2 linked regions of the Elephas maximus indicus genome follow. The protein of the gene in region 1 interacts with the protein of each later gene in a pairwise test. Links are inferred from orthologs where the notes say so. Each region holds a gene or a part of one and is shown on either strand. Other genes may lie near its edges.

What was found.
Region 2: the proteins of HOXA1 (region 1) and RGS20 interact in binary tests that used the Homo sapiens proteins (3 or more experiments, as listed by UniProt). The two-hybrid records come from large-scale screens. The link is inferred for Elephas maximus indicus from reciprocal best matches to the Homo sapiens genes HOXA1 and RGS20.

Annotation. Positions count from the first base shown.
Region 1 is NC_064826.1:88,263,928-88,271,124, forward strand, and holds HOXA1 (homeobox protein Hox-A1), read right to left. Parts: upstream 2,884-7,197; 5' UTR 2,823-2,883; coding exon 2,177-2,822; intron 1,700-2,176; coding exon 1,344-1,699; 3' UTR 507-1,343; downstream 1-506. UniProt on the Homo sapiens protein: Sequence-specific transcription factor. Regulates multiple developmental processes including brainstem, inner and outer ear, abducens nerve and cardiovascular development and morphogenesis as well as cognition and behavior.
Region 2 is NC_064833.1:86,221,019-86,229,016, forward strand, and holds the start of RGS20 (regulator of G-protein signaling 20), read right to left. Parts: upstream 3,004-7,998; coding exon 2,855-3,003; intron 992-2,854; coding exon 973-991; intron 1-972. UniProt on the Homo sapiens protein: Inhibits signal transduction by increasing the GTPase activity of G protein alpha subunits thereby driving them into their inactive GDP-bound form.

The DNA of each region.
Region 1 (7,197 bases):
TGAAATTACACTCATGGGAGAAGCTTCAGCTACATGATAGTGGGAAGCATTCATTTTTATTCAAGAAAAGGACAACTTCTTGGAAAAAACATACCACCCTTCTCTCTCTCACTACATGAAATGAATCCAGTTTGTAGGAATTAACAAATTATAGCCCAGGCAAATACACTGATGCTTAAGCATACCTGAAACTTCAATATATTTATTACAGACATCTTAAGACCCGTAACTCTGCTCTGATCACATCACTTCAGAATCTCAGAGCTGTTCATGATTGTACAGGAAATGGGGAGTACCACAGGCTCACAAAAAACTGACAGAACTCAGTGTGGTACTTCAGGGAAATCAAAACATTGTGTGACATGCAAAAGACGATTCACGAATCACACAAAATATACATTCATTGAGCCATCCATCACGTTAACAACTAAGCTGAAAATACATCATATCCAGCTAAGATAACTGCGAAAGGAAGAAGCTGGTTTGAATACCTTTAGGTTCAGAATAATCCAGCACAAATTTTAAGTGGAGGGGGGCGGCCAGTGAAACAAGAAGGGGAAGGGATGGGGAGACAGCACAGGAAGCCAGGTTTCTGAACCTTGTGCTCTGTAGGCAGACCTTCTTAACTCACTGAAAATGAATTGAGGCTACTCTCTGAAGCATCTGATTGGGTTTAAATGAGAATGTATTCTTTTACCTATAACCACATATAAAATTGTACCAGCTTTGAGTTTGCCCACCCTGTTATAGTCACTTAATCCAAACATTTCTAGAAAATTTGTATAAAGATAAATCTCTCAGGACAAAGTATTTACAACCAGCAAACTCACACACATGAAATTGAATTAAATTAAGGGATGAATTGTGTAAACATGCTCATAGTGCATCTCTTCTTCATGAGCTCCTAGACTCTGTGTGTGTGTGTGTGTATATATATATATAGCCTACCTTTAAGATCAGGGTAGGGGAGGACTAAATATACAGATAAGTAAAAGATGAGAGGCTGTCCTCTGACATGTTTCTGCTGGCAAAGGGAACTATTTTCCAAAGGGGATCCAAAAGAACAGTAGGTTCTGTAAAAATAGAAAAGTGGGTAGAACTGTTAAGGGCCATCAGAAAATTGATGCTGGCACCCGATCTGGATTAAGAAGTTAACCCCCCACAAAGTCTCTGGTCTAGAATGCTCTAGAAACACATTAACCTGGCCAGAAGCTCCCCATATAGGACCAGAAAGGAAGAGAGAGACTGGAACTGGAAAGGAAGGTAAGCTAAGAATGTGCTTTGGGTTAGAAGTCCCAGCCCAAGGAGAAACCTGGACTACAGAGTCTGGGGCTGGGGTGCCCTCAGTGGGAGGTAGTCAGAGTGTCTGAGGTAGAAGACCCCGGGGAAGGAACGCAGGGTGAGGAGCTGGACTTCTCTGAGGATTCCTCGGCTTTCTCATCGCTTCCCGGCGGGGTGGCCGGAGAGATGGGTAAGAGGCCCTCCTTCTCCCGTTTCTTCTGCTTCATTCGGCGGTTCTGGAACCAGATCTTCACTTGGGTCTCGTTGAGCTGCAAGGACGCGGCGATCTCCACCCTGCGAGCTCGCGTCAGGTACTTGTTGAAGTGGAACTCCTTCTCCAGCTCCGTGAGTTGTTTCGTCGTGAAATTGGTACGGACCGCATTAGGTTGACCCACGTAGCCGTACTCCCCAACTTTCCCTGGGGTCAGGATGGAATGCGACGAGAGAAAAAGGTAAGAAAATTAAATCGACATGAGGGACATTTATCCCCTACACGCTTCAGAGCAACATTCAGGTAAAGGAGAGATGAAGAACTTGTGGGCACAAAACGGGCTGGGGAGGGTGAGTGATGAGATGTGAGGCGTTAACCTGAAGTCAACCATCAGTTTGGTCAGACCCCGTGATTAATGGAACCTGAGATATTAACAGAACCCACACTCATTCACTTGCTACTTCCAGAACCTCTCAAACTCAGTCCCTTTGAAAACGCATCCGTCCCAGAAGCTTCCGTGCCCCAACACACCTGGGCAATCTCCTGCCCCACAACACCGGTGTTAAGCAAGAACTTTTTTTTTTTTTTTAAGACCGTTATTAACTTTCCTTGAGAATTAAGCATACCAACCCCTTGTAGTATCATCAAGGAGCATCCATCGGCTGGCAGTAGACTAGGACTGACCTGTTTTGGGAGGGTTTCTTTTGACTTTCATCCAGTCAAAGGTCTGCGCTGGAGAAGATGTCTCCGACGCAGGGGAGCGACAGGCTTCTTGGTGGCTGGCGTGGAGAGGGGACAAGGAGTTATTATACGTGGCCAAGGCCAGGCTCTGGTGCTCCTGTCCATATGAATGGTGAATGTACTGAGGCGAGCCCACTGCGCCCCCAGCATAACCCTGGTGGTGGTGATGATGCTGGACCATGGGAGATGAAAGATTTCCAGAGTAAACAGCGGGAGCGCACGGGGGGTACCCACCACTTACGTCTGCTTCCTGATTTAATGCGTAGGGGCTGTAAGGCGCGCCAAAGTTCTGTGCGCCGTAGCTTGTACTACAACTCGAGTGGGAGTAGGACACCCCCAGGTTCCCAGAAGTCTGGTAGGTGGCCGGCTGGGGGTGGTGGTGGTGGTGGTGGTGGTGGGGTGGGCTGATCTGCACCCCCCGGCCTACTAGGAAGCGGTCGTCGCCGCCGCAGCTGTTGGCACTGACCGCGCACGACTGGAAAGTTGTAATCCCATGGTCCGAGGGGTAGGCTCGCCCTGAGCAGGTCCCCGAATCACCACCGCTGAGGATGGGGTATTCCAGGAAGGAGCTCATTCTTGCATTGTCCATCTGTCACTGAGTGACTGGATCCTGCGACGCCCTGGGTGATCGTGCCAACTTTCTCACTTCCTCCATGGGGCCAGAGAAGAAAAATGATATGAATGTACAGTGAGCGGGAGGGGGGGCGGCGGGAGGGCCGAGGGAGCAAGGGGAGGGGCACGTGACTATGTCAGCCAATGGCTGAGCCTCCTGCGAAATTTTGCAGGCTCCAGCAGTGATGGATCACCGTTTCAGTGGCATTTAAATCCCCGGCGCTCCTCCGCCTAGGTGACGCGCAATCGCCCCCCCAGGCAGCCCAGGCGGCGGCAGCAGCTGCGGTGTCTGCAAACAGCGGATTCGGAGCGCTGGGGCTAAGGGGGGCGGCTGTCTTCAGCGCACGCCCAACTCCGCTCGCCCCCCGTCCTGGAGGTGGGGGCTGGGGGGCATTCCCCGCTCCGTGCCCCTCCCCGTCGTGCACAGGAAGATGAACTGGCAAGAGGTGAGAAGGCGAAAGGGCTCCCGCTCTCTCGGGTCGGGAATCAGTGGGCTGGAACTCGCCGGGCGGCCGCAGGTACGCGGGCCCAGAGCGAAGCGCTCGGAGCCGGAAGGGTAGGCACTGGGCCGGAGCCGCGCCCCAGGATCTCCTAGCGTTTTCACTGTACTGTCCCTGCTGTGGGACCTTGGGGCCGGGAGGAGCGCTGAGAACGATGGCGGAGGCGAAACTGGGCCATCGGATCTCCAAGCTCCAAGCAGAGAGGGAAGTGAGCAGAGAGCTGATTGGGAGGAACCCGGGGTGAGCGTGGAGGGGATGGGGGCAAGAAAAGAAACTCCCCCTTCCCCGGTCGCCGTAGCGGCCTTCCGGCCCCACACCCTCGCCATTAGCATGGCAATGAGGAGCTTCGGTAATTCGACGCCCAGGGGCGGGTGAGCGCTTGCTGCCGAGTTTGCAGGAAAAGGCCTAGGGTGGCGGGGCTCTTCTCCGCCCTTTCTCTCTCCTCGCTCTCCGCCCCTTTCTCCTCCCCACTCAGCTTTGCTCCGGGAGCCCTCCGGGAAACCCAGCAACTCTGCCACTAGATTTTGAGGCGTAGGAGGCGGGGGAAAGAGATGACGCTAGCGGACGTAGCCAGCGTGGTGGTCGGGCCGCGCGCTGCAGGCCATCTGCGGGCTCCCCAGGACCCAGGAGTCTGCGTGCCCGGGCGGGAGCCTCAAAGGGCGGGAGAACCACAGCTCCAAGAAAACATCCCCCCCCCCACCCGCCACCTTCCTCTTTTTTGGAAGGAAAATATTAGGAGTGGGAGAGCCTCCTTTACCCGCCCCCTACATTCTACTGCACGTCAGGGGTGGGGGCTGGCAGGTGGGAGAGGCGGTAGACAGATGGCTGATGGTGGACTGGACACTTGCCTCTTCCCCAGCACCATCTCCTCCCCTTTCCAACTGACTGCGTAGCTGCTTGTATTAGCCATCTAGTCTTTCCCTAGAGAGACGCGTGCAAATCTGAGCGTCATCTCGGGCCAGGGGTCCTGTTCTCCATCACCCTCGTCCTACTCTGATGCTGATGGGGTCGTTAATTGGTGTTTACTATTAGGTTTGGCGACACCCCTGGGCTAGTGGAGAGAAAAGGCCAAACCGAGGCCGAGAACTGATGCATTCTTAGGTAGAAGAAATCTAGAGACCATGCAAGAAGTTTTGCAACCAATGCCCTATAGATTTTACTCTATGTTTACAACATCAAATCCGACAGATGAATTTTTTTGTGAGGATTACATGTGGGTTTGCGTTTCCCACTCTCCTCTTGCTTCCCCTCCCCCAGTTTAAAAGAACTAAGTTTGGTTGAGGTAGGTACATTTCAAAGGTGTTAGTCACCTTTTCAGGCTTCTGTGTTCTGTTCTTCAAATATAGAGACTCCGCCCCCCCCCCGCAAAAAAACCTGCCTCCCCAAGAAGGAAAACCCATGCAGACCTTTGGCTCTGAACTCCTCGTAGCAAAGAGACGTTTTTCCCCCAAACACTTCCTTTTGAAATGGTATTTCTCAGTGATCTTTGACCCTTTCCCATGTGTAGTTAAGAGGGGGCACAGGCAGGAAAGGTAAGATTCAGCTCCCGGGGAACTCGCTCCAGATGCAGCTCTTGGGGAACCTCCTCCAGTAGAAGGGAGTAGGCAGGGCGACCCTCCTGGAAGCGGCTTCCTTCAGAGCGCCAGGCCTTCAGGGGAATGGCGAGAGAAGGCGCCCCTTGGGGAAGGGGGAGGGAGGATCTGTGCTGGCTGTGCGGGCGATCTGCTCTTCAGGCCTAAGCTCCTCAGTACGTTCTCCCCCCGGCCTCATTTCTATACTTCCGTTGGCCTCCTCCGGCCGAGCGTTCGCGAACCCCTCCGTCGCATGGTGCCAGTTACAAAGCCGCCCTCGGCCACAGTCACGCATCCTCCTTTTCTAGCAACCAGGCCTCCGTGCTCCTCTCTCTCCACCTCTCTTCTTCTCTCCTAGCTTCTTTTCGGGGACAGCCTGGGTGGGTTTGTTTTTCTTCCTTTCCTTAGGGTCAGAAGCGTACACTCGCACACAGGCCTGCAGACACACGGGCCGGTGACCATCCCTTCTCTGCGCTCAGCTCCGGTAGGCCGGGCTCTCTAAGCCGAGCGGGCTCCTCCTCTGCCGGCCGCCGGGAGCGCCGCTCTCCCCGGGCGGCTCCCAAAGGCAGCCTCCCCTGGCCTCAAGCCCGTAGGCTTCCGTAGCTCGGTTCCTTCCCTACCTCCCCACCCCCTCCAAGAAATTCTGGGACCCGGTCTACAGGATTGGAAACGCTTGGCCCTCTGGGCTCGCAGGCCAGCGCCCAGCCTCGAGCTAATGTCTTTGAAACGCCCGGGAGGAGTGGGTGAAAGGCGAGCTTGGTCACGATTAAAATAATCTCCCACAGTAGGTTCCCTGGGCTCAAAGCACCTCTTTCAGGGCTCTTCTACTATACAGGGAAGGAGCGAGGAGGAAACAAAACGCCGCCGAGGCCCGGAGCTGTTCAGGGCATCCGCGGCTCAGCCAAGCTGTTGTTTTAAAAGAGCAATAAAAATGAATTATGACTAAACGCCTTCTAACTTAATGCTTTCGGACGGGGATCCCCGGCAAATACGTAAGAGGATTTTTATTTGTGCATGTGTTCCTGCAATTGATCTCTTTGATGACATTCTCATTCATAGAAAGCGGTTGATTTATGAGCATAGGACGAATCGCATCCAGCCGCCGCGCAGCCCTGGCCGGGGCTGAGCCGCCCTGCTCCGCGCCGCGTCTGGGGCCCGGAAACCCGGCGCAATCTCCACACAACCCCGCCGCTGCCGGAATTTAGGGGGTAAAGGGGCGGGGGGAAAGTGGGGAGCAAATGGTTGGAGAAAAATCGCGATTTCATTGTAACTTCCAAGCCTTTGCATTTAAAAGCCGGGTTGGTAAATCAACCGGCACCACACATGTTGCTTACACGCTACATTTTCTCACGGTAAGTAAGTAGCCTGCAGAACAGAGCTCAGAAAGGAAAAAATAAACATGGGAACATGTAAGAAAGGGGAAGAAAAAAAAAAAGAGCAGCCCAATAACACACCCTAGATCATATTTTATTGATGTACCATTTAAAGTGCTTATTTTTTCGTTCTCTAGAAATTGGGTTAATTCATAACCTAGAGTGCAGAAACACACTCCGTTTTAAATCTCGACTTGCTAACCTGGCTTCAAAGCTTTAATGATCCATTATTTGCAATGTAAACAGGTTGAAGAATGAAATATTGATTTTTCTGACCCTGAAAAAAAAGAATACTAGAATGACAGAACCAGAGGATTGAAAAGAACACTTTCTGCAGTGCGCTTTCTAGCTAGTAACCATTGTTTTGTCGTATTTTTGTTTTTAGGTCTGTTTGCCTGAACCCATCAACAGCTGGGAGAGGAATCAACCACTCTGAAAATGTGTGTGTGGGGAGGGGGGGTTGTGGGGGAGGGGCTGGAATGTAGATGTTTTAAACAAACGTGTACAAATAAATGAATTGCTGGTAACTTAGTTATTGACCTGGAGACTGGTAGCTTGTTAAAGAAACTCCACGTTCCTCTTTGCTGGAGTGGGAGGTTTCTGTAGGCACTTTATTTCTCCACTTTGAAAAGCTTCAGTTTGGCCCTTCTCTCTGCCCCATCCTGTTTCTATTGCCCATTCAAATCTGTGGCTAGAACCTCTACGCTGAAACCAAATCTATTCCCTTCAAAACAAAAAACATTTCTCAGAAGCTGTAGCCATATTCTGGCTTTCTTTTGTTATTGTTGATGCTGTCTAAAGAAGACTTTAAACATGCCCCTTAATAAACGTACTAAAATTGAAAAAGAAGATAAATTGTGACTAGAATTTTATTTACCAAGTTAGACTAAAAAGAAGAAAAAGAAACC
Region 2 (7,998 bases), on another chromosome or scaffold:
AATTTTGAAGGATTCTATGTGCAAAATATTGAAGGATACAGGAAGAAGATGGAAGGAATAACAAGTCATTGTACCAAAAAGAATTGGTTGACATTCAACCATTTCAGGAAGTAGCTTATGATCAAGAGCTGACGGCATCGAAGGAAGAAGTCCAAGCTGCTCGGAAGGAATTGGTGAAAAACAAGGCTCCAGGAATTGACAGAAGACCAAATGAAATCTTTCAACAAATGGATGCAGCGCTGGAGGTGCTTACACGTCTATGCCAAGAAATTTGCAAGATAGTTACCTAGCCAGCCGACTGGAAGAGATACATATTTGTGCACATTCCAAAGAAAGGTGATCCAACAGGATGCATAAATTATCGAATAATATCATCAATATCACACACAAGTAAAATTTTGCGAAGACAATTCAAAAATGGTTGCCACGGTACATTGACAGGGAACTGCCAGAAATTCAAGCAGGATTCAGAAGAGGATGCGGAATGAAGGCTATCATTGCTGATGTCAGATGGGTATTAGCTGAAAGCAGAGAATAACAGGAAGATGTTTACTTGTGTTTTGCTGCCTATGCAAAGGCATTCAACTGTGTGGATCATTACAAATTATGGATAACATTGAGAAGAATGGGAATCCCAGAACACTTAATTGTGCTCATGAGGAACCTGTATGTAGATCAAGAGGCAGTTGTTTGAACAGAAGAAGATACTGTGTGGTTTAAAATCAGGGAAGGTGTGGGTCAGGGTTGTATCCTTTCAGTATACTTATTCAAACTGTATGCTAAACAAATAATCTGAGAAGCTGGGCTATAGGAAGAACATGGCATCACGGTTGGAGGAAGGCTCATTAACAACCTGTGTTATGCAGATGCCACAACCTTGCTTGCTGAAAGCGAAGAGGGCTTGAAGCACTTACTGATGAAGATCAAAGACAACTATCTTCAGTATGGATTACACCTCAACATAAAGAAAACAAAAATCTTCACAACTGGACTGGTGAGCAACATCATGATAAATGAAGAAAAGGTTGAAATTGTGAAGGGTTTAATTTTACTTGGATCCACAATAAATGCCCATGGAAGCAGCAGTCAAGAAATCAAACTACCTATTGCACTGGGAAAATCTGCTGCAAAGACCTCTTTAAAGTGTTGAAAAGCAAAATGTCACTTCGAGGACTAAGCTGTGGCAGACCCAAGCTGTGATATTTTCAGTCCCCTCACATGCATGCAAAAGCTGAACAGTGGATAAAGAAGCCTGAAGAAAAGCTGATGCCTTTGAGCTTTGGTGTTGACGAAGAATATTGAGCATACCATGCGCTGCTAGAAGAACAAACAAATCTGTCTTAGAAGAAGTACAGCCAAAATGCTCCTTAGAAGCTAGGATGGCAAGATTTGTCTCATGTACTTCGGACGTGTTATCAGGAAGGACATCATGCTTGGTAAAGCAGAAGGTCAGCAAAAAAGAGGAAGATCTTCAACGAGGTAGAGAGTCATAGCGGCCGCAACAACAGGCTCAAACACGGCAATGATTGTGAGGGTGGTGCAGCACCGGGCCGTGTTTTGTTCTCTTGTAAATAGGGTGGTGATGAATTTGAACCAACTCGGCAGCACCATACAGCAGCAGCGCACATCTTGCCTACATTTAGATGCCCATCACTTAAGGACTTTCGGTCACTAGATCCTATTTCATTCTGGTTTCTTCAAGTCCTAGTGCTTAGTTACTTGATAATAGGATAATAGTTTGTTGATTGTTGTTAAGCCCTGATTCATGGAGACACCATGTGTTACAGAGTAGAACTGTTCCACAGGACTTTCTTAGCTATAATCTTTATGGAAGCAGTTTATTAGGCATTTCTTTTCCACAGTGATAATAAGGGTGGCATGGAAATTCATGTGACTTTGTTAATTCACGTATATTTGAAAGGTCAAAAACACATAAAAGACCTCCACATAATTAAAAAAATTTTTTCTAACTTGTTTTTTTTTTCTGCTTGTGCCAATTAGTTAAAATAACATCAGGGGAAGAGGCAGATCAAGAGAATTAAATAGCGTCTGCAAATAAAGAATGATTATCGTTGGGATATGAGCCACAGCACAAGGGCAAATGAATTTTTAGTGTTAAAGTGAATGCTTTACCCTTTGCTGTGGTCTAATTTTGCAGCGTTTAACTTTTAGCTCTGACCATTATTTGTTAGACACTAACACCTGGGCATCCCCCCTCCACACCAAAATAACCCTTTGGTTCTATTAATAGCTAAGAGGATTTACAGACTTAAATGGTGCTTTCCACAAGACACACACTACATTGAGCAGTAAAATTGCCACTCTTTGGGGTCATCATCTGTCTAATGGTAGAAAGTCATGCTGTCTTAGGAATTACTTGGAATTTAGAAAAAAAAAAAAATCCTCTTAACTCCTTAATGTTCTTATGTTCTTGTATCAGTCTATTGACTTTGTTCTCTAGCAGTCTTTATAAAAAGCAGTATACATTTTTTCATTCATTACTACATAGGATAAAATCTTTACATCAGAGAAAAATATCCAAGGGTTAATATCAATAGCCACCCAATCTATGGCTAGGTTTTCTGCTTTGAAAAACAGCATCTCCCAAAACAAAAAAGCAACGAGTAACGGCTTGCCTTGATAAACGCACGCTGCTGAGGTTGAAGAAAACTGGACGTATCAGGTAATTGTCATCACGAATATAGTTTTCCCCTGGTGGTAAACCTTCAGTAAAATCAAGTGAGCAATGGCACTCAAGCTTGTTTATGATTTTATGTTCTTTCTGGATAAATCCTCCTCCTTGTCAAGAAAGAATCATGGATTGTAAAGAGGTCATCTTACCTTGAAGTGATGCACAGCTTTGGTGTCCTCTTCGTGTTCTGGGGTTCGGTGGATGGTTGCATTATATCCTTCAGCCCTAAACAAGGGCAAAAACTTCCACGTAGATGACCTGGAACAGTGTTTCTGAAGGCCCTCTTGGTTGTCTTGGAAAAGGCTGGGCATGTTTTAATAAAAACAACAGGGCAGAATTCCCTTTCTTTCTCTTCCTTTGGCTAACGCTAAGGCATTTCTCAGTCTGCTGGCAGCCTTCTTGGAAATTTGCAGTAGTCAAAGCAAAAGGATTATCTATTTATGGATCAGTAGCTTAACCACAGATCTTTAGTCCTCATTGCTGGTGCAGAACCTCTTACTTTGAATGTCTGGGTTTACCATGACTGCCCCCTAAAGGCGGGAATGCATTCATAATTCAAACCTGCTGAAGTAACTGATTCTAGTGATATACAGCTGAGGGTATAACGATAAAGACAGACAGAGATTGCTTGACAAAATTCTGTATTAGTAATGTGTGTGAGGAAATTGTACTTGACAATCTTGGGCTATGCAATTGATAGGCAGATGCTCAGCCTAATTTTTTAGGTTTCCTAAAAGATCATTTTAATAGCAGCCAATTTTGCAGCTAGAAACTAATCTTAAATTCATATTCTAAACTTAAGCCCAAGCATTGTTACGCCTTTTACTTAAAAAAAAAAAAAAAAATTTTTTTTTTTTTTTTTTTACTTACATCATGTAAAATTAGTCAAGGTGATTTTCTTATGTGGTAACTAGTCACCTAATGATGAAACCAAGAATTAGCTTCTAATACCATACTTTATATTTGTAAAGTGTTTTATAAATATAAACTCGTTGCCGTTGAGTCAATTCCGACTCATAGCGACCCTACAGGGCAGAGTAGAACTGCCCTATAGAGTTTCCAAGGAGCGCCTGGTAGATCTGAACTGCTGACCTTTTGGTTAGCAGCTGTAGCTCTTAACCACTATTCCACCAGGGTTTCCTTTATAAATATGAGAATATTAAATGGAGTGAAAAAAGCACAGCACATAACACATTTCTCTACGATGTGACTAATGGCCAAGTAACTCTGTGGGGTTTAAGGTGCACAAAGGTAAGGGCTCCACCTGTTGATTACTGGGGACTGTGAGCTGAAGAAATTTTTCTTTTATGGAAGTGCCTGGGACTCCCGAATTAATGTACAGATTTATAGCAATTAATATGAAAATCCTAGCTGCCTTTTTACAGAAATGGACAAACTGATCATAACATTATTATGGAATTGCAAGGTACCCAGAAAAGCCAAAAAAACAAAATAAAACAACCCTGGAAAAAGAAGAACAAAGTTGGAGGGTTCACACTTTTCCAATTTCAAAAGGTACTATAAAATCACAGTAATCAAAAGAGCACGGTACTGCTGTAAGGATAGTTGTTAAGATAAACTACTGTTTGGTTTTAAAAAGACTTCAGGGGATAGTTTTGGTTTAAGGTTTAAAAATTATCTCAGGGCAAGAATTTTGGTGGTTCATCCAGCCGCCATGGCTCTAGAAAGTCTGGATTTCATGAGAATTTGAAATTATGTTCTGCATTTTCACCCTTTTGATCAAGACTCTTCTGTAGAGTCTTTGGTCAAAATATATGGCAAATTGCTTTTTTTTTAATTTGTGCTTTAGATAAAAGTTTACATAGCAGATTAGTTTCTCATTCAAAAGTTTATACACAAATCATTTCATGACATTGGTTGCAATCCCCACAATGGGTCAGCGCTCTCCTCTTTTCCACTCCAGGTTCCCCGTTTCCATTCGTTCAGTTTTCCTGTCCCTTTCCGCCTTCTCATCTTTGTTTTTGGGCCAGCGTTACCCCTTTTGGTCTCTTGTATTTCATTGATCTAAAAAGCATGTTCCTCGCATGTGCTGTTGTTTGTCTTACAGGCCTGTCTAATCTTCGTTGGAAAAATGAACTTTGGGCTTAGCTTCAGCTCGGAGTTAGAAGGGTGTCTGGGACCATAGGCCGAGGGCTTCCTTCAGTCTCTATCAGATCGGTAAGTCTATTTTGTCTCTGTGTGTGTGAATTTGAATTTCGGTCTACATTTTTCTCCCACTCTGTCCAGGACCCTCTGTTGTTATCCCTGTCAGAGTGGTCTGTGTGGTAGCTGGAAACTAGTTCTTCAGGGCTCAGACTGGTGGGGGCTGTTGTAATTGTGGTCTATTAGTTCTTTGGACTAATATTTTCCTTGTGTCTTTGGTTTTCTTCATTTTCCTTTGCTCCAGATAGGATGGGACCAATAGATGTATCTTAGATGGCCACTTGCAAGCTTTTAAGACCCCGGACACTACTCAACAAAGTAGGATGCAGAACATTTTCTTTATGGACTATGTTATGGCAATTGACTTACATGTTACCTGAGACCATGGTCCTCAGCCCTCAGCACCAGTAAGTTGGCTCCTCAAGATGTTTGGTTGTGTCTGGGAGGCTTTTATGACTGTGCCACCTTTGGGCTTTACTATATATATGAATATCTTATGTATCCGCTTGTAAATTTTCATTTGTTTTTACTGTTGTTGTACAGTTGTATATGCTATGGTATTAGCTGTGGTTGTTTTTTTTTTTTTTTTTCCTTGTGTTCTTCTAAGTGTCTTTCTTTGGCAAATTGATTTTTGACAAAGTGCCAAGTCCATTCAATGGGGAAAGAAGCCTTTTCAACAAATGGTGCGGGGACAACTAGATTTCCACATGCAGAAGAAGGAATGTGGATCAAGCTAGTGTTCATGGTAGTGAGAGCATGGCTAGAAACAAAGAAGGAGAAAATGTGGGAAACTGGAAAAAACTGAATCCTTAGGCCCCTCCCAAGCACTTCTGGTCCATTTCCTATAAAGAGCTGCCTATCGTGCTGACAGATGAGAGCTCTGTCTCCCCGACATTAGGCCACTGTTATGCATTACCCCAGGTAAAAGGGCATTTTCTAAACAGTCAGTGGAGTTTACAGAGTTCAGAGGCTTGTATCTAAGACATGTAAGCATCCGAGCAGAAGAGATTAGCGGGCTATTAATCTAGAAAATCTCTGACTTCTTTACTAGCTCAAGAGATGGATAGAAAACAAATGGATTTGAATAGAAAGCAGATGGAGTGAAGTGCTAATGGAGTTGAACTATCAGAAAAACTCTAAAACTGGCAAATCATAACCAAAGTTCTTCCCTTAGGCGAAGGAGGCTAAAGATGTTCAAAACTAGAGAGGGAAATCCTCCCAGATGCTCATCTCAGATGCCGTTACTGGACTTGTCAGGACAGGGAGACCTCTGAGATGGTGCAGTTAGTCCTAGTTCAGACTTGTGGATCAAGGAACTTGTTCTACTGACGAAAGAGGCAGAGTTGGCTGTGTACCATGGACCCAAACTGTTCTCCTCCATCATTGTGTGCTGAGAGTGCTGGTGGTAGATTTAGCACTGCACCATGAGTTGGCAGCCATAAAGACCCACACGTGGACTAGACCACGAGGATTGCAAATCACTAAATGACCCTTGACTTTGAGCCAGACACAATACGGGAAAAGACTTCAGGTTGTCTTCCCTGGAATAAGATGAATACATTTTTAATTTCATGTAGGATATGTTAAGTGGGAACATTTTTGAAAGGTTGTATATGAAAAAAAAGAGAAGTGTGTGTGTCAATACTGAGTTGTCTAGAGGTGAAATGTAGTGGATGTCTTTTTTTTTTTCCTCATCCACCATTCACGTCCTCTTCTTTTTTATGATAACAGCATCCTAGTTTTCTTTGGGGTCATGTGTCTATTCCCTTCTCAGTCCCTGTTACTTAGATAGGGCTGACCCTGTACCTGGAAACCCTGGTGGCATACTGGTTAAGTGCTATGGCTGCTAACCAAAAGGTTAGGAGTTTGAATCTACCAGGTGCTCCTTGGAAACTTCGTAGGGCAGTTCTAATCTGTCCTATAAGGCCACTATGAGTCGGAATTGACTCGACGGCAACGGGTTTGGTTTCTTTTTTTTTTTTGAACCTTGTATCCAGCTCCAGGTCAGTGAACACAACACACACATGGGCTGTCGGTAAATTCCATCCTTCTGCCTACAGTGACTGCTCAATGCCAAGCGTGTAACCAGCCCAATGGAGTCAGTCCTAGGACTTTTGATAATCTGTTAGAAAAGAAGTGCTTGTTTAGGTCTGCTAAATTGGTAGCCTATAAGTGTGGTGTTCTTGGTGTGTATATCTTTACCCGTACTTGGATAAAGGATGCCAAGAATAAACCCAGCTCACTGAGAACCAGAAGTTAGATGCAGAAAGAAAGTGCCTGACATCACTTGAGCAATTCACCATCTTTGATGGTCAAGACCTAGATTTTTCATTTACGTGATCAATGTTATTATTATTTACTGTTGGGTTGTCTCTGACTCATGGCAACCTAGTGTACTACAGAATGAAACTTTGCCCAGGCCTGTGCCATCTTCACAGTTGTGGGTATGCTCAAGTCCATTGTTGTGGCCCCTATGTATTTCGAGTGACTTCCAACCTAGGAGGATCATCTTCTAGCACTATACTAAACAATATTCTGCTGTAAGCCCTGGTGTTTTCATTGGCTAATTTTCAGAAATTGATCTCCAGGTCTTTCTTTATAATCTATCTTACTCTGGAAGCTCCACGAAATCTGTCTACCACAGAAGACCTCACTGGTATTTGAAAACCTGTGGCATAGCTTCCAGCATCACTGCAACACGCAAGCCACCACAGTATGAGAAACTGAAAGATGGGTGGTGGACATGATCAATAACCTCACTAAAATAAAAAAGTATTACTTTAAGAATATTATTTCTATTTGCTTAAGCTAGCTTAATCTGTTTTCTTTCACTTGCAACATATACAAAAGGCATGTTATGGTGCCTGGAACATAATAAACTACTGGTAAGTGCTAAATATTGTTATTATTTTAGTGATGGTGACTGTATTAGTTATCTGTTGTTGCATAACAAATACCCCCAAAACTTAGTGCTTTAAAGCAATGTTGTTATCTCACAGTGTCTGTGGATCAGGAATCCGGGCTCAGTTCAGCTGTGTCCTCCAGCCCAGGGTCTCCAACCAGCTGCAAACAAGGTGTCTGCCAGGGCCGCATCATCTGAAGGCTCACCAGGGTAAGGGTCACCAGGTTTGCTCATGTCGAAG